5 linked regions of the Rattus norvegicus genome follow. The protein of the gene in region 3 interacts with the protein of the main gene of each other region in a pairwise test. Links are inferred from orthologs where the notes say so. Each region holds a gene or a part of one and is shown on either strand. Other genes may lie near its edges.

Evidence for each region.
Region 1: the proteins of Bhlhe40 (region 3) and Maged1 interact in binary tests that used the Homo sapiens proteins (3 or more experiments, as listed by UniProt). The two-hybrid records come from large-scale screens. The link is inferred for Rattus norvegicus from reciprocal best matches to the Homo sapiens genes BHLHE40 and MAGED1.
Region 2: the proteins of Bhlhe40 (region 3) and Tle5 interact in binary tests that used the Homo sapiens proteins (3 or more experiments, as listed by UniProt). The two-hybrid records come from large-scale screens. The link is inferred for Rattus norvegicus from reciprocal best matches to the Homo sapiens genes BHLHE40 and TLE5.
Region 4: the proteins of Bhlhe40 (region 3) and Stk19 interact in a two-hybrid assay, tested with the Homo sapiens proteins (2 studies listed by BioGRID). The two-hybrid records come from large-scale screens. The link is inferred for Rattus norvegicus from reciprocal best matches to the Homo sapiens genes BHLHE40 and WHR1.
Region 5: the proteins of Bhlhe40 (region 3) and Naa50 interact in binary tests that used the Homo sapiens proteins (3 or more experiments, as listed by UniProt). The two-hybrid records come from large-scale screens. The link is inferred for Rattus norvegicus from reciprocal best matches to the Homo sapiens genes BHLHE40 and NAA50.

What each region holds. Positions count from the first base shown.
Region 1 is NC_086039.1:63,420,035-63,424,493, reverse strand, and holds the start of Maged1 (melanoma-associated antigen D1), read left to right. Parts: upstream 1-1,508; 5' UTR 1,509-1,609; intron 1,610-2,164; 5' UTR 2,165-2,193; coding exon 2,194-2,238; intron 2,239-2,935; coding exon 2,936-3,634; intron 3,635-4,185; coding exon 4,186-4,459. UniProt on the Homo sapiens protein: Involved in the apoptotic response after nerve growth factor (NGF) binding in neuronal cells. Inhibits cell cycle progression, and facilitates NGFR-mediated apoptosis. May act as a regulator of the function of DLX family members.
Region 2 is NC_086025.1:8,797,972-8,802,539, forward strand, and holds the start of Tle5 (TLE family member 5), read right to left. Parts: upstream 2,952-4,568; 5' UTR 2,861-2,951; coding exon 2,834-2,860; intron 1,696-2,833; coding exon of another isoform or gene 1,579-1,695; intron 1,291-1,578; coding exon 1,193-1,290; intron 670-1,192; coding exon of another isoform or gene 588-669; exon of another isoform or gene 1-587. UniProt on the Homo sapiens protein: Transcriptional corepressor. Acts as a dominant repressor towards other family members. Inhibits NF-kappa-B-regulated gene expression. May be required for the initiation and maintenance of the differentiated state.
Region 3 is NC_086022.1:143,172,968-143,177,602, reverse strand, and holds the start of Bhlhe40 (class E basic helix-loop-helix protein 40), read right to left. Parts: upstream 3,154-4,635; 5' UTR 2,835-3,153; coding exon 2,755-2,834; intron 2,587-2,754; coding exon 2,517-2,586; intron 2,239-2,516; coding exon 2,131-2,238; intron 1,227-2,130; coding exon 1,103-1,226; intron 1-1,102. UniProt on the Homo sapiens protein: Transcriptional repressor involved in the regulation of the circadian rhythm by negatively regulating the activity of the clock genes and clock-controlled genes.
Region 4 is NC_086038.1:3,998,486-4,003,166, reverse strand, and holds the start of Stk19 (serine/threonine-protein kinase 19), read right to left. Parts: upstream 2,952-4,681; 5' UTR 2,905-2,951; coding exon 2,805-2,904; intron 2,634-2,804; coding exon 2,497-2,633; intron 1-2,496. Other genes in the region: Dxo (decapping and exoribonuclease protein), read left to right, coding at 3,432-3,787, 3,940-4,175, 4,265-4,484, 4,595-4,681. UniProt on the Homo sapiens protein: DNA-binding protein which is required for efficient transcription-coupled nucleotide excision repair (TC-NER). Acts as part of a TC-NER complex which assembles and interacts with RNA polymerase II (RNAPII) when it stalls at DNA lesions.
Region 5 is NC_086029.1:70,063,804-70,068,175, forward strand, and holds the start of Naa50 (N-alpha-acetyltransferase 50), read right to left. Parts: upstream 2,952-4,372; 5' UTR 2,661-2,951; coding exon 2,653-2,660; intron 1-2,652. UniProt on the Homo sapiens protein: N-alpha-acetyltransferase that acetylates the N-terminus of proteins that retain their initiating methionine. Has a broad substrate specificity: able to acetylate the initiator methionine of most peptides, except for those with a proline in second position.

The sequences.
Region 1 (4,459 bases), on a different chromosome or scaffold from region 3:
GCGCTCAGATCTGCCTGGGGTTTCGGGAACGTATGGGTTTGGTTTGAGTCACCACATCTGTATGCCATTTTTCTGCGTTTGTTTCTCCAGCCATGTTGGCACAGCAGACTGTGTGTCCTTGGACACGACTCTCTTCCTGGGATTCCTATTTTGTGTAGTGAGTAAATTAGGCTCAGAGAGGTCCACTAAAGTGACCATGTCTCAGGGGCTCACACAGCCAGAGACAGATAGGCCAGACACTCATCTTGGAATTCTAAAGCCAAGCCCAGCTTCATTCCGCAAGAACAGGGCAGACACACCTGACTACCCTGGCTGCTCCAGCAGGCACCAAAAAAGCCCGCCGTCTCACTCCTGGAGACTGCCTGCCAAGAGGAGCACAGAGTGAACCTGAAGGGTTCCCACATACACCAGGCCTCCTAGAACACAAGCCTCATTCCCTTGGAACAAATATTGGGGAGAGGAAAGCTTGTTATTCCAATAGAGGATTAAGGAATGCCTCTATTCTCAGAGCAGATTTTCAGTCAGGATCATCCAGGCCCCACATGGATGTTTGTTTGTCTTTTAGATAAAGTCTCAGAGTTGCAAAGCTGGCCTAGAACTCGGTCTCCGGAGTGCTGGGATTACCAGTGTGTTTAAGCAAATATTGTCTTTTCTGTTTGTTACTAGCTCAATGCCCTGGTCCATACAGCGGGTTTACGTTTTAGCTACCTGACGTGTTAAATGAGAATGTTGACCTCCATCCATCTCCTGAGGCTGCCTGTGAGAAAACCAAGCTCCAGGACAGAGCCCACTGCCCTACGCCCTTCCCTCACCTCTCGGACCCACCCCTCACGAAATATTTCTTTGGCAAAAACTGCAAAAAGGGCGAGAGAAACGCTAATTTTCTGAGTCTCGTGAGAGGAAACCTATAGAATCCCCAGGCTGACCCTTGCCCTGGTAGCTCTGTCACGTTTTGTTTTTGTTTTTTTTTTTTTTTTTGCCCCTGCCTTTAAGGTTTCTGCATTGCAAAGTGCGTGAACTCAGCAGAGGCCTAGTTTGTGTCGAAATAAGAGACCCCCCGCAGAGGCCTACCTAAGAGGCTCTAAGCAAGTGGGTGGGAGGTAGTTGCGGACCTGGCTAGAGAGAGTTCGGGAAAAAGGGCGGGACTGAGAAGAGACGCATTGCGGATAAAGGTAGGGGGCTGGTGTGTTGGGCAAGGGGGTGGGACCAAAAGGCGCTGCGCATCTGTTGAAGGAGTGGATGCGTAAGGAGAAGGGGAGGAGGAACCTTTGTACACTGTCAACCTGGTTGGCGGTGGGATAGTGTGCTGGCAAAGAGGCGGGATCTCCTCCAAGTGCACATGCGCGACAAGGTCTCCAGGATGAAGCTTTTGTTGGGAAAGCAAGCGGGACTCTTATTTGGACAGTGATCTGTTGCGCATGCGCGGGGCTTCCTGAGGCGGTGGGTGGTATATTAGGCGAAGAGGCGGGGTCGCCCGAGCTGCCGCGCTGGCATTTTCTCCTGGACAAGGAGAGAGTGCGGGTGCAGAGAGCGGAGCAGAGCAGTCCCGATCCTCTGAGTCGTGAAGAAGGAAGCAACGAAGGGGGTTGGGGTTGGGGCCTGAGGCAAGGTGAGACCCGCCCCCGGACTGGGCATCTGCCCCCCTGGTGTGGCGCCCTTCCCCCATTCTTTTATCCCAATCCCCTTTCCCTGAATTCAGAAACCCCCTCCTCTGCCTTACCCCGGACTTACACCTCGCTCCCGACCCTTTCTAATTCGAACTCCCGTTCATTCCCTGAATCTTTATCCAATTCCTTCACTGAATCCTATTTCCCGACCTTGATCCGTTATACGATTCCTCTAGATTCAAAGCCTTAATTCAACTTTACAGACGCGAACCTCTCCCCGCTAACCGCCCCCCCCCCCGCCCCTGTAAACTACCGCATTCAGAGCGCTTATCTGATTCCAAACCGCGGATTTGAAGCTTTTACCTGTCAGCTTCTGGAAATTTTAGATTGTCTATCGGGACGACCATTTACTTTTCCCGCTTCAGTTAGGCCTGTTTCTCCCCGTACCCAGCACCTCACCCGCCCCCATAATCAAACCACACGCGCACACACAATTCGGTCCTACGTATTTTCCTTCTGTAGTATAATGCCTAGTTCCTCTCCCACACCCCCCTCAGGCTCTGCTCTTGCCAGAGAGACAAGAGCTATGGCTCAGAAACCGGACGGCGGTGCAGGCCTCCGCGGCTTCCAGGTGAGAACCCCGCTCCCAATTCCTCCATTTTCCTTGCTGACAGATTACGCCCACCCCTGGCCCCTCAGGTCGCGCAAATGGCAGGATCTGATTTTGCCCTTCTTCCGGCCTAGACTCCGCGGGCTCTCAAATTTCTAGCGTTTATCGAATAGGGGGGAGGGGCGGCCCTTTTCAGCCATCGGTCCCTGCTTAGAGAAAGGGGAGACCCTGTTAGTCAGGGCATTCTGCCCAGAGAATGCGGGTTGGGTAAGGAACCATTTTTTTTCCATAACCCTGACGCGTGTAGAGCAGTCTGTCGCCCCATCCCCCAACCTCTCGCCTCCACCCTCCCTTTCTCCACGCCGCGAGACTCCCCCTCCACCCTCCTCTGTTTATCCTCCTCAATTCCTCCGTCCTCAGGTCTTGAGCTCCCCACGGCAAGCCTCACGAGTCTGTCTCTAAACCCATTCGGGGTTCAGTGCTTGCACCACATTCCGCACCAGCCCCTGCTGCCTCCGACTGTCCCTCACCTTGCCCTGCCCCCTCTACCTTTAATTAAATTTTGTTCCCGCCCCGCCTCCCTTTGACCCGCCTCTGCCCCCATGTCTGAGTACTGTAACGCCTGTCTACAGTTCCCCTGCTGCGTTGCGCCGTGCCCCTCCTTCAGGTCTGGCTTGTAAGGCCCAGAGATTAAAATTTCCCCCTCCTGTATTTGCAGGCAGAGGCCTCTGTAGAAGACAGCGCCTTGCTTGTGCAGACCTTGATGGAAGCCATCCAGATCTCCGAGGCTCCGCCCACCAGCCAGGCCACAGCAGCTGCCAGTGGGCCGAATGCTAGTCCCCAGAGTTCACAGCCCCCAACTGCCAATGAGAAGGCTGATACTGAGGTTTCAGCAGCTGCTGCCAGGCCTAAGACAGGCTTTAAGGCCCAGAATACCACCACAAAGGGGCCAAATGATTACTCTCAGGCACGTAATGCCAAGGAGATGCCCAAGAATCAGCCTAAGGTGGCCTTTAAGTCACAGAATGCCACCTCTAAAGGTCCACATGCTGCCTCTGATTTTTCCCATGCAGCATCCACAGGCAAATCAGCAGCTAAAAAGTCTGAAATGGCCTTTAAGGGTCAGAATACCACTACTAAGGCTGGCCCCAGTGCCACCTACAATTTCACTCAGTCTCCCAGTGCCAATGAGATGACCAACAACCAGCCTAAGACAGCTAAGGCTTGGAATGACACCACTAAGATCCCTGGAGCTGATGCCCAGACCCAGAATGTAAACCAGGCCAAAATGGCTGACGTAGGGACCAGTGCAGGTATCTCTGAAACTGACGGTGCAGCAGCCCAGACCTCAGCAGATGGCTCCCAGGCTCAGAATGTGGAGTCCCGGACTATAATTCGGGGCAAGAGGACCCGCAAGGTGAGATCCCTGCTGGCTTCCCTTTGCTTTGAGGTCTCTCCTTTCTTTGAATTTCCTTTGCTCCAAACAAAATAAAGGGCACATATATATCTCTATTTTGGCAAAGTTGTAGGGGGAGCTGAAATAAATATTTATTCCTGACCCCCGGTTGTCCACAGATTAATGATGAGTTGATACAAGGACACAGGCAGTATGTGTGCAGACCGTCTTACATTTGACAGTAAACACCATGTCTTAAGCTAGGCAGGCTCACCCAGAATTATCATTAGATTTTGAAGATCCACCTCACAAGCAAGAGAGACCACAGTCAGGGAGAAATGAGTTCAGGGTGAAACCAAGCAGTGCACAGGAAAGGGAGAAACCCCGGGCTCCACTTTGTGTTTTTCTTTCTCTGGTTTGGAGATGAAATGCTTTCCTGAAAGACAGTGAGGAACCAAGTGGCTAATGGCTAGTGAGGTATAGGTGAGGATTCCTAGGGACTTCCTAGGATAGCTACTGGGGGTGCCAGGATTAATAGTGACCCTGAAATTTTCTTCTCTCTAATGATACAGATTAATAACTTGAATGTGGAAGAGAACAGCAATGGGGACCAAAGGCGTGCCTCGCTGGCTTCCGGGAACTGGAGGTCTGCTCCGGTTCCAGTAACCACTCAGAACCCACCTGGCGCACCCCCTAATGTGCTGTGGCAGACACCACTGGCTTGGCAGAACCCATCAGGCTGGCAAAACCAGACAGCCAGGCAGACCCCACCAGCACGTCAGAGTCCCCCAGCTAGGCAGACACCATCAGCTTGGCAGAACCCCGTTGCATGGCAGAATCCAGTGA
Region 2 (4,568 bases), on a different chromosome or scaffold from region 3:
CCCAGTCCCGAACCCAGGCCCAGTGCACAGAGGGCAGCACAATGCAGCTCAGAGATGGCATCTGCCTATGGGATGACACACAGCCTCTGTCTGCCCTGCAGGTCCTGGCAGAAGTCACCCTAAGAGTGGTCCCAGAGCCATGCGGGCATAGCCTGCACTGGTGCCTAAATCCCTCTTCAAAATGGTGCCCTAAATTCCTCTTTAAAATGGCAAATGCTGGGGGAGCCGCCCAGCGGGTAGATGGCTGGCCTAGCACCCCCTGGGCCTTGCCTGTCCTGTCCTGTCAGCAGCTCAAGGTCATCCTTGGCTATATAGGGAAAGCCTGGGCCACATAAGACCCTGTCTCAAAATAAATACCAAAAACTTAAATAAAATAATTTTTTAAAATAGAAAACTCCACAAACACTGAGGTTTACCTTTTTCTTGGAGAAATCTAAGGGTCTTTTAAAGATTTTATCATTACTATCATCATTATTATTAGTTCATTTTCTGAGACAGAGGTTTGTTCTGTACCTCAGGCTAGCCCAGAACAACATTCGCCTGACTGTGTGAGAGCTGGAAGGTTGGGCCTGCACCCCCATGCCCACTCACCACTGGATCCTATAAAACAGGTCCAGCCTAGGGTCAAACGGAGACCCGTGGCTGGGACCCCAACTCCCCAGCTTCAGGCTGCTTGCAGCTTTCTTGCTTCTGTGCTGTGCACTCCTGGAAACTGCTAACACCTCTGGGCTTTGGGGTGATCAGTTTCACACATGAGGAACCCGTCAGAAATGAGAAAAGTATTTGTGGTGGGAGTGACCAGGCTGGAGGGTCTGTGGGACACCTGCAAGCTTCCCCACTCCAAAACTGGACAGAAGGAGAAGGTGGGGCTGTGTGAACCTGGGCGGACTATTCACCCTCTCTGGGCACCCAGTCCAGGCTGTGCTAAACAGAGGGATGCATGGGGACTGGGCCTCTGAAACCGCGAATGCTGTGTGCCTCGGTTTCCTCCTCCACACTAGGGGCTGCTTGTTTTGTTTTTGTACACATGGTCTCATGTAGCCCAGGCTGGCTAAGTAGTTGAGGATGACCTTGAACTGCTGACACTCTTGGTCCACCTCCTGGGCCCTGAGATGGCTGAGGCACCCCCCACCCCGCCTTCTTTGATGCCACAGACAAGTCTACAGAGGTGGGGTCCCCAGGCCCTGCTCACCTGTGGTACTGCGCTTGTAGCAGCTGGAACTCATCCTTGATGCGGTCGCAGGAGTCGGAGGTGGTGAACTTGAGCTGCTGGGGGAGGTGGGAGGAGCCCTGCGGAGTGCAGGAGGGTGAGCAGCGCCCTGCCCCACCCACGCCCCACTTCCTGGGTTGCTTACAGGCCCTGGCAGCCAGGAAGGGACTGTGAGGCTTCTAGGCAGTGGTGATGCTTTTACACACTGGTCATTTGTGAGGGGCAGCACCCATGTGGCTGCCCCCCGGAGGAACTCCCCAGAAAGCCCCTCTAAGTCAAGCAAGGTGATAACAGGCCTCCCTCCAAAGCCAGCATGGAAAAGGCACCTAGCTTACCACCCTATATTTCCTGGGGGTACCCCATCACACCTGTTTCCTCAGGGGTGTGCTCTTCAGGGGTGGACCCCCCCAAAAGCTGCCCTGCCACAAGGAGTGCCCTGTGGGGTTCCTCCCAGGTCCCAGCCAAAGCCACAGGGAAGTCATGGCCTGGGAGTTAGGGAGAGAGCTGATGGGGGAGGGGCTTGGGGGGGCGTTTACAGGGCCCGCATCTGAGGGCACTGGGTCAGGAGTTGGGCTGTAAGATTCTCTGGGTAGCAAGGCTAGGGGTAGGGTGTGGGGAGCATGGCCACTGGGATCTGGTGTGGGAGGCGACAGATGGGCCCGGGCTTGGATGGATGTGAGGGGGACAGAGCCTAGTGCTGGGGAGGAGGTGCAGGGGAATGGGGGATATCTGGCTCCGGACAAGGGAGCACTGGGCCTTATACGGGCACAGGGTCCCCCCAACCCTAGTGCTGAGGGTGCCGGATGGGGCCTGGAGGAGGAAGGCAGCTGGGGTGCGGGGCCTGCAGCTAGAGGAGGGACGCAGAGCCAGGCTGGAGGTGGCGCTGGGCCCGGATGGTGACGCCAGGCCCGACAGGGCTGGAGGGAGAGACAGGGGGTGTGGGGACTGGATTGGGGGGTAGAGGGCACCAGACTTGGGGACAGGGCAGATCTAAGGTGGAAGGAAGTGCAGGGCCGAGGTGGTGGTGGGTGCAGGGCCTTGGACTTGGTGTCAGGCCAGTCTGGAGCTCTTAAGGAGCTGGGCCTGGTGGGGTGCAGAGCACAGGGTGGGGATGCAAGGTCTTGGGCTGGAGGACATGCGCGCCTGGGGTGAAGGGGATGAAGGACTTGTGCCTAGGGTGCTGCAGCTCTGGGTCTGAGCCCCAGGGCCGGGAGACAGGCGGAATGCGGCTGTAGTGGGGTGCGGGCCCAAGATTGAAGACAGGCTGATCCGGAGCCCGGGAGTAGGGGTTGGGGGTGGGGAGAAGACCTTGGAGTCGGGATGGGGGGGCCGGCGAGGGGAGGCGGTGAGGGGACTCAGGGCAGGGATCAAAGTTCAGGGATCCGGGCTAAGGATGCAGTGCTGGGCTGGTGGGGTGCGTAGGGCCTGGGTTGTAGGGTGCAAGGGCTGGGGCACAGGCCTGTAGGAGGTGGGGGAGCACAGGGAGCCTCTGGGACAGGCCCTGGGCGGGGAGACAGAAGGGATCCGACCTAGAAGGGGTGCAGGGTGAGCGCTGGAGGTGCAGTGAGCTGAGCTGAGGGTGCAGGAAGAGCTCTGGGGTGCAGTGCGCGGGGTCCCCCTTACCGAGTGCCGGCTTTGCGGAAACATCATGTCAGTCGCGGGGGGCGCGGGCTGCGCCCCGGCTCGGGCGGCTCGGGGGGCGCCGGGCGGCCGCGCTTTGTCCCCGATCGACAGCTCCGGGGCCCCGCGTCCCGCCTCCTGCGCCGCCCGCCGCCCGCCCGCGCCGCCCGCGCTATTGTGTAATGGCGACGCGGTGCCGCCCGGGCTCCCGCTCCACCTGCCGCGCCCGGCACTGCGCAGGCCCGGACGCCCCACCCGTGACCTTGGCCCCGCGCGCCCCGCCCCCGCCACGGTCCGGAGCCCCGGCCCGAGGCCTGCCTCAATGGTCCCCCAAACCCCCAGCCCCCAGGCCACGGACTCACAGCCTGGGCGCCCAGGCTTCAGGGTGGATTTATGGAGTGCCTACAGCGTGCTACATCCTCTTTGGAGTCGGAGGGTTGGCATGACTGGGGGGCACACTGGGTAGCAGAGTGACACCTGTCCCTCAGAGGTAGGATGGGGGTCCAGGTCTGTAACCCACTGACTGGGGTGCGGAGGCAGGAGGATCAAGAGTCCCAGGCCAGCCTGTGTTACCAGAGAGCCTGTCTCAAAACAACAAAAAGTAAGACGTGGTTTGTGTTGAGCTACAAGAGTTATTACCGGTACTGGGTAGGTTGAGGTAGGTGGAAGCCAGCCTGATGTACACAGTGAATACAGCCTGGGCTACAAGAGTCCTTATCTCAAAACATCAAGAAGTTAAAGAGGGGCACAGCAGGTGGTGGTGGCCCATGCCTTTAATCCCAGCACTGGAGGCAGAGGCAGGCAAATCTCTGATTTGAGACCAGCCTGGTCTACATAGAAAGTTCTGGGACAACCAGGGCTACACAGAGAGCCTGTCTCATAAATAAAGAGTTCCCTAGGTCCTAGCTTCTGCCCAGCACTTGGGAAACTGAGGCAGGAGGATTGTTGGACTTCAGCATTAACCTGTGGCCCAGTTTACTGAGTGAGACCTGTCCAAAAAATTAAATACACATATAAGTATATGTAAATGTATATGACATATATTATATATAATAAATAAATATGCTGCTGTGGTAGCACATGCCTTTAATCTCAGCCCTTGGGAGGCAGAGGCAGGCAGACCTCTGTAAGTTCAAGGCTGAGCCCTGTCTCAAAAATAATAAAAAATAAAACATAAAATATATGAAAGAAGAAGAGTTCCCTGGGCCAATATGATTAACCCCTATATTTCAGGCCAACTTAAACTGCAGAGCGAGACACTGTCTCCACAATTCCATACAGTGTCAGACTCAAATGGCCCAGACACAGTGGCCAGCCAGGCTTGGCTAGGCCACGGCCATGCCAAGCCCCAGTGGGGTGGTCGGGGTCCTCCCCCAGCCACAGAGGGCCAATGAAGGAAAGAGGAAGCCATCTCCAGGCCTCAAGAGACAGGACCCGGACTCAGACTTTGGTACCCTGGAGGCAGGAGTCCAAGAGGCTGCTCCTGGTGCTGACCCATACCCGGCTGGTAGGGCTTTTGGTGAAGGTGCCACGATTGGCCTGTGACATTGTCTTGTTTTATTTATAGAAACACGGTCTCGTGGAGATCAGGCTAGCCTGGAACTCTGTAGCACAGGATAACCCTGAACTCTTGACCCTCCTGCGTCAGACCAGCCTTCCCTATGACTATTGTCCTGTCCCACTTTGGGGTATACAGATCCCCTTTCTGTGGCTTGCTGACAGTCTCTGATTCCAACAT
Region 3 (4,635 bases):
TAAGGGGCTTTGTCTGCCTCCCAAGTATGGGATTACAGGCATGCACCGCCGTGCCTACAGTCGTCATAGCTCACACCTGTAATCCCACCGACCTGGGAGGCTGAGACTGGCAGGTTACTTCAGAGCTTTAGGAAAGCCAAAAAAACAGATCAACAACCAAAAAGCAAACAAAAAAACAAAAAAAAAACAAACAAAACAAAAAAACAATACCTAAAACCAGTAACTCCGGCACCACACAAAGACTTAACCTATTAATCAAATAGGTGCATTTCCCCTGTGCATTCTAACTAGGCTCTTTATTTGTAAGTCTTTCCCATATACTGTAGCTCTGACTCCCCTAGAGATCAGTCCTGATCAACTTTCTATTTTTAGTAGGAAAACTGGCAGGCATGCTGGCTCGGTTTGGTTTTTGTTTGTGATTCTTGTACTAGCCTTGGACGGAACAGAAGAATGCCTGAGGGGTAGGTGTTAGGATTCCCCCTGGTCTGTACTGTATGATCTAGAAGGGAGAAGGGGGAGGTTAGAAGGTGCCCCTGATTCTCTGAAACTCAGGATAAATGAATGATGAAACCAGTGGTTTCATTGGATTGTGCAATTTGCCAAGATACCTAGTGGCTATTCAGGGAACCACAATGAAATGCAGGCAAGAAAAAAAAAAAAAAAAAAAAAAAAAGCCTGCTGTCATCCTGCCAAGACTGCATCCCACATCCAAAGACAAGGAAGCAAAGGGACAGGAAAACACTAGGGGCAGACCCGTGTTCTGCTCACCCATGAATGAGGGCTCAGCAGACCAACTGTAAAAACACCCACAATGCAAATTATCGATGCCTTGGCATTTTAAAGGGGGATGGGGAAGTCTCCCAGAACCGAGACACTCTCGGGCCAAAATGTCACAGGAACATTTCATCACTGGGCTAATAAGTACTCATTCCAGGTGGTGCACAGCAGCATTCCGTATGGGAAAGTATGACCTTTTAGGAAAGAATCAGAAAAGCATCTCCCCCAGTGAATGTGCAAAGGAGATGGTAGCTCAGAGTCAGGAGCCACAGCCAGCCCTCCGGGCTCGATCTGTGCTGAGACACTAATCAGGCCAGGCACTCACCAGCTTGTAAACCGCTCTGCAGGGCCATGATTTTCTGCTGCTGCTGATCAATTAGGTTTGTCAATGCTTTCACGTGCTTCAGCGTCAGCTCGAGAACCACTGCTTTCTCCAAGTGACCCAAAGTCTGAGGAAACAAAAAAAAGGGAGCTTCCGTCACCTGTGAGGTCAGTGAAGTCCCTTCTGACACACACTATTTGTTATGAGAATTGGGTGTAGACAACGAGATAGGAAGAGCTTTTCCTGCCCCACTAAATTTAAAGTTTGCAGATGTGTTAACATATCCATATAACGATCAAAGGCTTAAAAAAAGTCAAACATGTGTTGCCTATCTTTGGAGGCATTTTGGTAGCTGTTACAGTCTCGGGAGTGAGCTGACAGATATATTTCTCCAGCAGCTGCCCTGACCTTAACTCAGGGGACTCCGGAGATAACATTTCCCTGCTGTGGTGTCAACTCAGGGAGGGATGTCTACTGTGTCTGGCAACCAAACGGCTTTCCCAGTGTGCTGAATTTTTTTTTTACACATCCCCCCCCCCCCCAAACACCCGTTCAGGACTTCCAGTCATGCAGGCTTTTCGTCTTCCTTTCCAAACACTTTTCCCGAAGGAAAATCCAGAAAGCTTTCGGTTACCAGTAAAGATGATGATGAAAAGAAAAGGCACACATTAAATAAAGTAGGTCCTCTCGTGGATGGTAAGAGGACAAGGAGAAGGGCATAATTTTTTAATCTCACGGTTTGTTCCTTTTAAGTTAAGGGAGACTACGAGGTGGTGAGAAAGAAAAAAAAATACCAAAAGGAAGCTGTGCTAGTGTTGGAGCCAACTTAAAGAGGCCCCAGATGGTTCTGGTTCTGCCTCTGCCTGGAAGTCCTGGGTCTGGGTCTGGGTTCCCTCCAAACCAGAACTACTAGGAGCTTTGATCCGCCCGTCTAGCCTGCAGTTCCCGTTGACGCCTGCAGGCGGCGGGTGACCCCCACCCGCCCTCTGGGCAGAAGAACTGGGTTGGAGCGCAGCCAGGTTCTCACTTACAGTAAGTTTGAGATGTTCGGGTAGGAGATCCTTCAGCTGGGCAATGCACTCGTTAATCCGGTCACGTCTCTTTTTCTCAATCAACCGGTGCGGCAATTTGTAAGTTTCCTGCAAGGAATAAATGGAAGCAGTGGGTGCCTGAGAAAGGGAACACGAAGCTTCCTCCCTTCCTCCCCACCCAGCACCAGAGGGAAAAAAATTCTGCGAGGGCGCAGAGACGCACCGAGGATCACCTTCTCTGCCCCTTCTTTCCCAAGTCACTCACTTGTGACAATAAGCTCATCACATCCCGAAACCCCCAGCCAACCTTCAAACAAGCAAACTTTTCCTTGGAAACTCAGCGCACGCGAGAGGCTAAGGAACGGGGTCCCCAGGGATGCACCTACCTTGCTGTCCTCGCTCCGTTTTATTCCCCGCCTGGACTTGTACACTTGGTACATGTGGGCAAAATCCATCCTGCAGGGAGAAAGGCCAGAAAGAGCCGTGACTCCCAAGTGCGTACTGGCTGCAGAAGTCCTACAGATGCAAGAAGCCCCCTATATGCCCAGAGATGCCCCAAGTTGAGAGTGGTATGGAAGACACGGTGAGGAGCGGAGACTTGAAGGGATCACAGCGCACACTTACCCTGACAGGTCTCCGTGCTCCAGCCCTGGCGTTTTGGGCAGGCAGGTAGGAGGTGGTTGCGCGCTGGGGATCCGCTCCATGATGCGGCGAGCAGGGGCCACTGTGCGCTCCTGTCTGCACTTAGCAGAGAGTCTGAGAGAGGACTGCCCTGGAAGGGAGGATCCGAGGGTCTCAAGGGGTATGTTCCTATGAGCTAGCCTGAGCTTCTTGCAATGCGCTGGGCTGCCAGGAGCTGCGGCTTTGAGGTGTCGCTTCAGTTGGGGGCGTGCATGACCGGGTGTCCCCCACGGCTTCTGGCTCCCGCTCTGCACACAGACTGGCGGTGTGTGCTCGCTGCGCTGTCTGCGCCGTGCGAGCCAAGTGAATGAGAAGTGGGGCGGGTGGAGAGGCGGGAGGGAAAGGGGGGGTTGCTTAGGGCGGAGCGGGGGGGGGGGCGGTGGTTGCTGGAGGGGACGAGCCGAGGAGTAAGGAGAGGCTGCGGGCTGGGTTAAATGGGAGCGAGTGGGTGGGTAGAAGCTACGTGTTCTACCCTGTGACTCCAAGCACGTCTGGCCGCTGCCGGGGAGGGAAGGAGCGACCTGCCCGCCCTCCCCCGGCTTCATCACATGAGTCTCACGTGTTGGACAACGCTCTGGCGGCTGCAAAGTGCCCCCCCTCCCCGCCGCCCCAAACCTCGGGCCCCAGGTGTCTGCGGCTGCGGCCTCCTTTCCCCGAAAGAGGGGGTGGCAGCGCAGCCAGAGTCCTGCCCAGCTGGGTGGGGGGCACGGAAGCTGGAAGGAACTGGGGAGCTGGGGGGCGGGGGGAAGAGTTGGTAACGTGGGCGAACCTGCCCCAGGGAAATGAAGTAAGTTCCCGTCTCCTGGGAGGGAACGGGGGAGGACGGATTCCGCCCGCGTCTGACTCAAGCCGGGAGAGGAATATCCCCTTGGTCGCTCCAGCCCAGCCCTCTTCCTCCTCCCCCGCCTGGCCCGCTCCTAGGAACCGGTGCGCAGCGGAGGGAGTTGTCGGCCCCCCTTGGCCTTCCCCAGAGGCTGGGGTTTCTTTCCGTCCTGGCTTCCCAGCCCCCCAACGCTCAGCCTCAGTGTCCAGGAATTGCCCGCCTTGGGGAGGGACCGAGGGCGGGGCGGATGTCACCCCATGGGAAGCGGGCTGGTGGCCAGGCGCTAGGGCAGCCGAGGCCGCCGCCGAGCACGCCGAGCGCACCTGACCGTGGACCGTGTGAGCCGTGCGGACCCTCCCCTCCCCCAACTCTCCCGGGAGCTCAGCTCCCGGGCGCAGCCTGCGGGTGGCCTGGCACCCGACTGGCGCGCACCCATCTCCTCCCGCCTTCCAGGGTGCCTCACTGCCCCCACCCACCCTGGCTAGTCAAGCACAGAAAGATACCGGGCACGGTGCCCGGCGTTCCCTCCCTCCTCTGCCCCCTCCGATGCAGAGGCGTCCGGGTCGCCTCCCCTCCGGCTGCAGAGTTACACAACCGCGGCGACGGCGCCTGCCCTGCAGCAGCGCGGGGCGTGACGCTTCACGTGGCCCAGACGCGGGCCGGAGCTCGGCTCACTGCAAGCCTCTCCGCGCCGGCTTCCAAGCCGTGACCCCCGCGCACCGGGCTGCCAGCCGGCATGGGATCCCGAAGCTAACCAGGAACTTGGGTGGCGCTGTTTGCAGTCTATTCCAGGACAGGAGAGAGGAGACAGGAGGACCCCCACTCCCACGCCCCATCCTCTTGGTTTATCACAGTGAAATCTCCACATATGTGCAGCACACACTCACTGAGCCCCTTACCCAGTCGAGCTCGTGGCTGGAGACAGTGGAGGTAACAAGCACGGATTTTGACCTTGAATTTACAAGGACCTTTGGGAGGGAGCCAACCAGGCCAATCAGAAG
Region 4 (4,681 bases), on a different chromosome or scaffold from region 3:
GGATCTCTGTGAGTTCGAGGCCAGCCTGGTCTATGGAGTGAGTTTCAGGAAACAACAAACAAAATAAATAAATAAAATACCCCCACCTCAGGAGTATATAAATCCAATTCTCATAAATTCACAGAACAAGGGACTAAATAATCAGCAGAGAGAGAGAGGGAGAGAGAGAGAGAGAAAGAGAGAGATTGATTGATTCAATTACAGCCTCGGCTACAGAGAGATCAGTAAGGAAATAACGTATTTTCACGTACACGTATATAACGTTTAGCAAAATAGGCCACATAATGCAAAACAAGCCTTTTATCGATTTCAAATGTGTGGGGTCATCTTGTGTATTCTCTGGCCACCGTGTCATGTGAGCTGGAAATTCAGTCAGAGCTCAGTGACAGGAGACTGGGAAGTGTGATCCACAGTTCTTACCAACCCCCACCCAAGGAGCACAGAGGAGGTGTGAGGGCGCTTCTAACTGACCACTGATGAAAATGCAATTAGGAAGCTAAGGTGAATTCATAAGCCATCAAAAATACGTTTGTCTCACAGGGATGAGTAAATTGGAACAGGCTCCTAACATAGGAACCTAGAGAAATGGGTAACTATTGTTACAGACAACTTGGAATGATCTTTCAAACACCCAGCTAACTCAACAAGAAGCGAATGGTGTCGTAGTGTGTTCTCCGGATGCTGGAACCAGGTAAGTGATGCACGACACGGCAGGAAGCCTCGCTTGCCCAACATGCATAGGGCTCTGGGTTCGATGCCCGGCACCACCATCGACTACAAAGTGACAGCACAAAGCAGCAGGTCACTGTGCCTTGAGAGCCACATGGGACCAATGCCCTTATGGCCAGTCCTCCGTCTCTTCTGCCGTTGAGAACACAGTAACAAGTCAGAGCCAACCCTCACCAGATGCTGAGCCAGCTGAGGCTTTGGTCTTAGGTTCCCAGCTTCTACAGCTTTAAGAAATGAACTCGGGCTTGTCTAGCAAGCGCAAGGCCCTGGGTTCGGTCCCCAGCTCCGACAAAAAAGAAAAAAGAAAAAAAAAAAAAAAGAAATGAACTCTGTTCTTTCTGATGTAGACTAAACAGCCTCTGGCATTTTCTTATAGGGACATGGACAGACTGTAAGGCAAGCAGTATGATCTCACTGTCAAGGTAAAAAGGAATCATAAAATCAAGCTGTTCCTGGTGAAAATACGCATATATTGTTGGGAACGTGCCAAAGAAACTTAACTCTGAGTACTACCACTTCATTTGCAGGCCCCAGTTAATCATAGAGATAAAGTAAATCCAAGGTCCCGGGCCCTAGGAGAGTTGGGGATTTCATAATAGTTGGCCGGCTTCTGTTGTAAACGGCTGTCTGAGTCCAGACATCTCAGAGACAACTTCTTCATCTTGCTGGCAGGGTCAAACTAAGATCATGTTCCCAGGCCCCGGGACCAACTCCTATCCTGACTGACGAGAATTCCCTTGCTCAATTCCTTCTGTCAAAATATGATTACACGATGCTACAGCCCACGATGCTCCCCCTCTCTTCACGGTTTCATCCCTTAAATAAATACGCAATACGACGCCCCTTCAGGGTTATACCTACTTCAGCTTCCAACTCTGTTCTGTATGGCTCAGAGACTGTTGTCCTGCTCTCAGTAATCAATAAACATTTTAATTATAATTGGGTTGAGTCTGCAGTCTTTGCCCTGGGGTCAGAAACAACATAACAATATAAGCAAGATGGACGCTGAGAAGGAACTGCCAGAGTTAAAAGGAGCAGGGAGAGGCATTCACAGTGTTACAACCTTTCACTCAGGCAGTGGTCGGAGAGTTCCTGTGAAACAGAGACTGAAATCTGCCCAGTGGATTTGACTGGAAGGTGGATGTGATCCTTAGGCCTCATTGCCTAGGATCCTGTGAGGCACTCCTTCACAGATATTAAACACTGTACAACGTACACCACGGCCCTGGCTTTCAATCACCCTCTAAACTTGGTCACAAGGTTACAACACTCCTCTAGTCTCCCCAAGGATCTCATTTAGCCCCTTATGCCTTCCCCTTGTGTACCACAGGGCCTAGAATGATCTGCAGCGTCAGAGCCCACTGTCTCGTCCGTCTATTACCCGCCACTCAGTGTGCGCATCAGGCAAGTGGTTACTCGGTGCCTTGCTCCTCTATTCAATCCACTAATCACTAACCGACCGTTAGGAAAATCTGGGAGTTGACACTAGACTCATCTCTCTCCCTCAAGCTCTTTCACCGATGACCTTCCGCACACCTTTGCTTCTCTAACAGCCATAACATGTCAGACGAAAGCCTGTGGGATGTGACATCTGCCTGCAGTTCCGAACAAAGCCCTGGGATTTGCTCTGCATCTGCTTTGGTCTAATGCCTGCTGATGGGCTGGCGGCTCCACTGAGGGTCTGAGTGACAGGGACTTGGCGAGTGCCCTTGAGGCTGAGGGTTGGGGAGATGAAGAGACACCGAAGGTCTCCAGGGCGCTCCTCACCAGCTGCAGGTCGGCCACCGTCCTGTCCGGCACCAGACTGTACACTTGAGTCCTCAGCGCGATGGGCGGCAGCGCGTCCTCGAACAGCCCCCGTGGGAACAGCTGCACGAGCTCTTCGATGGCCTCGCGTGCCGAACCTGTCGGGGAGCGAGCGCGGGGTCAGGTCCGGGTGGAGAGCACTCAGAGAATCTGACGCCCGAGCCCCACGCCTGGGTTGTCATGGTTACTCACCCCAGGACCTTTTCCTCCTCCCCCTCCTCTAAGGGTGGGTACCCTATGGCCCGCCACGCCCGGGTTGCCATGGTTACCTGCTTCCGCCCTTAGAGGATCCGCTCTCACGGGCCCCGGCACCCGCCGTCGCTTCACTCCAAAAACCTCAGACGCCAGGAGACGTCTCTTACGATTCATAGCCCGAATTTCAGGGTTCCGGGAAAGAACTCCTGAACATAGCGTCTTCCGGTGCAGAATGATGACGACGGGGCCTCTGGCTGGTCGTCTGAGTTTGATGACGAAGACAGCCTCACTTCCGGCGCCCGGGCCGCTGCTGATTGGCTGCGGTCCGGAGCTCTCTGGGGCGCGCGGCGGCGCGAGTCGGCGCCTGGGATCCTGCTCAGGTGCGGACCGACCTCGCCCCCTCCGGCCCTGAGGGCGGATGGTTGCGTCATCAGGAGCAACAACTCTACGTTTGCATCCCTGTCCGGCTTCTGAGGTGCTGCCCTGATGCTATAGCCTCGGGGAGGTGGAGCTTTGAGGTAACCTGGTCTTTGCTCCAAACCCCAAACTCCTCGACCTCACCGCGTTTGGGTGTCTGTGGGTGGGAACGAGACACCCGGCTCCTGACTGGGAAGGGGGAGTTGCTACACTCACACCCCGGACCTGGAAGCTCGCTCGGTCCTGGTCGGCTCTAAAACGGAAACGCTTCCTCTCAGGACCCCATGGAGCCCAGAGGGACCAAGAGAAAAGCTGAGAAGACAGAGGTGGCAAAGACTTGGAACAAATTACCGCGGTCGCTACCCTCACTGCGCACACAGCCTTCTCTGTACTCCGGACCCTTCCCTTTCTACCGGCGCCCTTCCGAACTGGGCTGCTTCTCCCTGGACGCACAGCGCCAGTACCACGGAGATGCCCGAGCCCTCCGCTACTACAGCCCACCACCCATCAACGGCCCAGGCCCAGACTTTGACCTCAGAGATGGATACCCTGACCGATACCAGCCCCGGGATGAGGAGGTCCGAGAGAGGTTGGACCATTTGCTGCGCTGGGTCCTGGAACACCGAAACCAGCTGGAGGGGTGAGCAAAGCGCAGCGCAGCGCAGAAGCTGACCTGGTGACCCGTTTTTCTTTTCTGAAGTTGGGAGAGCCAAAGGGTCTTTAGTGGGGAGTTTTGAGTCAACAGAGCTAAAGCTCGAGTTCGACCGTAAACCCCGAATTCTTCCCTCCCAGGGGTCCAGGCTGGCTGGCAGGGGCCACAGTGACATGGCGAGGGCACCTGACAAAATTGCTGACCACACCGTATGAGAGGCAAGAGGGCTGGCAGCTGGCAGCCTCCCGGTTCCAAGGGACACTGTATCTAAGTGAGGTGGAGACCCCGGCTGCTCGGGCCCAGAGGCTTGCAAGGCCCCCCCTCCTCCGGGAGCTCATGTACATGGGCTACAAGTTTGAGCAGTACATGTGTGCAGGTGAGAGTTGTCGCTGCCGTGCGGCCCGTCTCCCCTTCCGCAGAGGTCGAGAGCCCCTTCCCCTGCTGCTGGCTTCTCTTCTTGTGCAGACAAACCTGGAGGCTCCCCAGACCCTTCTGGGGAAGTTAACACCAACGTGGCCTTCTGCTCTGTGCTACGCAGCCGCCTGGGGAACCACCCTCTCCTATTCTCCGGGGAGGTAGACTGCCTAAACCCCCAGGCCCCTTGCACCCAGCCTCCCTCCTGCTACGTGGAGCTCAAGACGTCCAAGGAGATGCACAGCCCTGGCCAGTGGAGGAGCTTCTACAGGTTCTGGCCAGGGAGGACAGGAGGAGCCTAGACTGGAGGAGTCTGGAGGATAGACGCTGCCTGAAGGGGAGGGTAGAGGGTCCTGCTGACCCTTTTGCATCTCCTGTTAGGCACAAGCTGCTGAAATGGTGGGCTCAGTCGTTCCTCCCGGGGGTCCCGTATGTTGTTGCCGGCTTCCGGAACCCAGAAGGTTTCGT
Region 5 (4,372 bases), on a different chromosome or scaffold from region 3:
CATATCTTATTTAAAGGCATTTTTATTAGAACTAATTTACACCTCTTTATTAATAGTTGAAAGGTAAGTGGATTTAATTTTATTTTCTATAACCCTTGACAACTAATTACACTGCCAGTCATTGTGTCTATGGCATACTGAATATCATCTTCTCAACCACAAATTCAAGCCATGATGTCCTTGGTTCATAAAAACAAGAAGCCTCATTTGAAAGAGCAAATAGTCTAATAATGTACTACTTCTCATTTTTCTCCATATGTATATAAAAATATATAGTAATTATTAATTGCAAATTTATCTATTATGGAGATAAGGATGATTTACAACATGATAACCTACTGCTGTTACTAATAAGAATACTAAAGTAAGAAATACGAAGTAAAGTATTTTTAAAAGTAAGCTTAAAAAGTTTCAATGCTCAAAATTTAAATCATAGATTAAATCAGTGTGTATTGGTGGTGGGGGTGTGTTCAATTTTCAAAACTTCAGAGTCCTCTATAAAACTGTTTGGTAAGCTCAATATACAATAGAAATTTAGCAAATAAAATTTCAAACAAAATCCATGGAATAGAGCCTTTCCAATAAAGTCAGCAGACTGAACACATAGTATTCAGTTATACAGGTTCTGTATCTCAAGGACATCAACATCTTAAAAAACAAACAAACAAACAAAACCAATACTGCCCTATACCCCGATTTCATTTCTTAAAAGGAAGAAAAATTAATAGTCCCATGCTTATTGGGAGTTAGGAAAAAATAAAAATAAAAAATCTATACCTGTAAAATCATCTTGAAATGTTTAGTCCAGAACCCAATTCTAAGCCCTCAATCCTGGGAAATAAAAAAAACTGACTTAAGGAGTCTTAATTTTGAGCCTAATTATTGGTCTAAAATATGGATTCAACAATTCCGAGTTTTCTCCAAATCTGCCCACTAATGCATTTCTAGGCCTCCATTATGTTATATATACTTAAATATCTACTCAAATAAAAAGAACCAGCTGGTAAAGGTGGTTCAAGCTCATAATACCAGCAACTCAAAAGGTTAAGGGAGGCAAGAAGATTGTTGCCAAGCTCAGTGTCAGCCTGAGTAACTTAGTGAGACTCTACCTCAAAATAAAGTGCTGAGGATATAGCTCAGTGGCAGGGTACTTGCAGAGCACTGAGTACTTTCCTTTAATTCCAAGAACTCCAGTTAGTTAATAAGGTAGAACTGCTTCAATAGTACCCTAAATAAAAGTTCAAATAAACAGCCAACACCACCACTGTGTGGCATCATTTCTATTGTCAAGTATCCTATACCTAACGAAACTGAACTAGACCCAAGATTTTTTAACCTAAACTTCCAGCATAATTTCTTAGTCTTGTTATCTTCATTGTTTTTACTATAACGGAACATGTCAAGTATGTTCTAAATGTGTAGCAATGAGTAGAAAAAAAATAAGAGTATCAAAGTGGTACTCTACTAGTAAAATAAAATTCCGAAAGATAACTGAGTCATATTTCTAAAAATTTCTAAAAGCATCCCGAATAGTGGCTCAGATGGAGCAAACATTCCCCCACCACCACCCAAAAAACAAAAAACAAAAAAACAAAAAAACCACTGAAATTAATAACTTAAAGCAAACCAGAGTTTAGAAAAAATGTCTTACATGCAGACTTAAAGTCAAAACTTTCTCAGAATCATTTCAGATATGAGGTCCCTCATTTTACAGAGAATGAGACGATTTATTTCGCTCTCCAAAAAACGATGCTGAACAATTTAACTGAAAATATTAGTAATAATTTTCAGCTGACTTAGAAAAACCCTTACGCTATCTCAAAAAGTTTAAGCTTTCTTTTTCCTCTAAAGATTGTAAAGGCAACCTCCAAAACTGGCGGTGCTAAATACTGAACAGTAATATAAATCAGTGGAAAGGAAATACTTTCAACCAAACGGGAACAGTTAAGCCAAAATAACTTCTAGCGTTACCGAAGATTTGAAAGATTAAACCTCAACTTTGCTAACGAAGAGTAAAAAAGCAGCTCCTCCTTGCACTGGGGGGCAACACACACCACTGAAGCAATAGCTCCACCTACTGATCCATGATACTTCCTTAAACATTTTGGCACCCCAAAGTCTACACCGCTGGAGTTCATTCCCCCTCCCTCCCTCCTCCACTCGCTCTGACCCAACCCAAGTCCGTTGAGTCACTAGCTCCTAGCACTCATCCTCCGTGCTCTTTATTCCAATTCCTTTTCCCTCCAGAAGGTTCTGCACGGCCCACAAGTATGAAGAAAACCGCAACGTGTCAAAGCCCGCGGCCACAGCATGGATCCCGGATTTGGATGAGCACCTGAGGCGGCTCAGTCGTGCGCTCCCGGGAAGAGGCCCCGGGCGCGTCCTAACACCTTCTCCCCGGGGTCTCATTCGGTGCACACTCGTTCTCCGGGTTGAAATCGTGGCCTCGCGCCCTTGCCTCCGCCGGCCCTTCAGCCCGCCAACAGCCGGCCTAGCCTCCGCCCCCCTCCGGGAGCCAAGGGACCGGGGAAGCCTCGCAATGTCCCTCCGCCAGGTCTTCGCGCGAGTCTCTTCCCCGCAGCGCTCCCCAAGTCCACCGACCCACGCCCCTCTCCGGTGCCCGCCGGACCCTCGCCCGCTGCCCTTCCTCACCCTTTCATCTTCTCCGTCTGCTGAGGCCGTCGTTACAGCCGCCACCAACGCCGTCGTCCTCGTCGCCCCGAGCTCTCCGCGCCCTAAGCTCAGGCCACTCAACCTCACACGCCGGCCTCTTGGCTGAGGGGACGACGAGGCCTCGAAAGCCAAGCCAGGCCCTGAAGCTCTAGAAGACGCGGGGAGATCTGCCGCCGCCGCGCTGCTGCCGCCGTCGCTTCTCCACACGTGCACTCCGGACACTCAGCTCCCGCCCGCAGCTGCCGCCAGCCAGACCCGCCGCCGCGCTGTGACCTTTCACCCCGCCCCCTCAGCGCGCCGGCGCGTCCGCCGCGTCGCGCGCAACCGCAGTGCTCGGCGCCGCCAGGACTCCACCCCCTCCTCTTTCTCCAGGGCTGGGCCTACGGTCGGCTAGCTCCACCCACCCTTTGCGACACTCCAGTGGAGCTTGCTTGGTAGGCTCCGGCGGTAAAATCCGGATTTTTCCACCCTTCCCTCTCTTTCAAACCAACAAGATCAGCCTGTCCCGCCCCCACCCACTTTCTAGACCTCCAGTGACCTTCAAATCCTCTTGTCCCCTAATAGGGTTTTACAAAATGGATTCTTCTCAATGTAAGAAAGCCTGTGGAGGCTTGCAGTAAATGTGTTTTAAATTCAAAAGGTAACGATGGGTCTGGATAATTTGGCCATCCTCCAGCAGGCAAACCTCACAGGTTTTTTTTTTTTTTGAAATCACGTGATAGGCTTATGCCTTCCAGCCAGGATTTTACTGGGGCCTTTAGAGGCGGGACTCATCGCCATTTCCGGTCCCTAGAGCGTGACTCAGCGTCACTTCCTTAGCAATGCACTTTAACCCTTGCCATCCTCGTTTTCTGTACTGTAGTTTATATAACCCAGTCATTGTGAAAAAGAAAATAACGCTTTTCCTAAATCGCGGAACCATTCACATCCAAGCAATCCGCAAAGGTTCAAGCCTGCGAGACGCAGCGTGCCTGGGGAGGGGAAGCGGGGTGGGGCTTGAGGTCACATGACTAGCTAGGGCTGACCCGCCTCCTGCAGCTGAAGACTTCCCCTCTCTCAGTGACAGAGCCTCTGGGTCCGGTCTAGGTACAGATTCTGCATTGCGAGCCCGGGCAGGTGAGGTGCGACAGGTAACTGGTGGCTGGTGGGAACGATTGACGGGGTGGGGTGAGAGTATATAGACACTGGGATGTGTGAACCGCGGCGTGCGGTGCTTGGGGCTCCTTTCGCGTTGTCCTCCTGCATGAGCGAGGAGCTCATTTTTCTAGATCTGCTGGACCCCTGACCCTTCACCTTAGTCCACGACGAGGGATTATGATGCCCACCTTTCCCTGTGTTGAGAGCGAGTGCGGCCATTATGGTTCCTTCTTTAGAGCATTTGGGGCTGATTCAGGTGGTAGAATTGTTTTAGCCATTTCTTGGGGGTCTGCAGCAAACGACGGGTCCCATTCCCCAAAGCTCCTTCCTTGGCAAAGGCCTTGGCCTGGTTGATCAGAATGGAGGAAAACCCCTGTAGGCAGAGGCGTCTCCGGTGAGACAGGCTTAGTAGGGAATGTCACTGATATGGCCCTCACTGCAGTCACACTGAAGGGCTTCCCCACAAATGTGCGTTCTCAGTGATTCTAAGGGTTTTGTCCGACATCCTTGCAGGAGAGGTTTAGTGAGTGTTTGGATGAGACTGGAAGGGTAAGAACGGGCC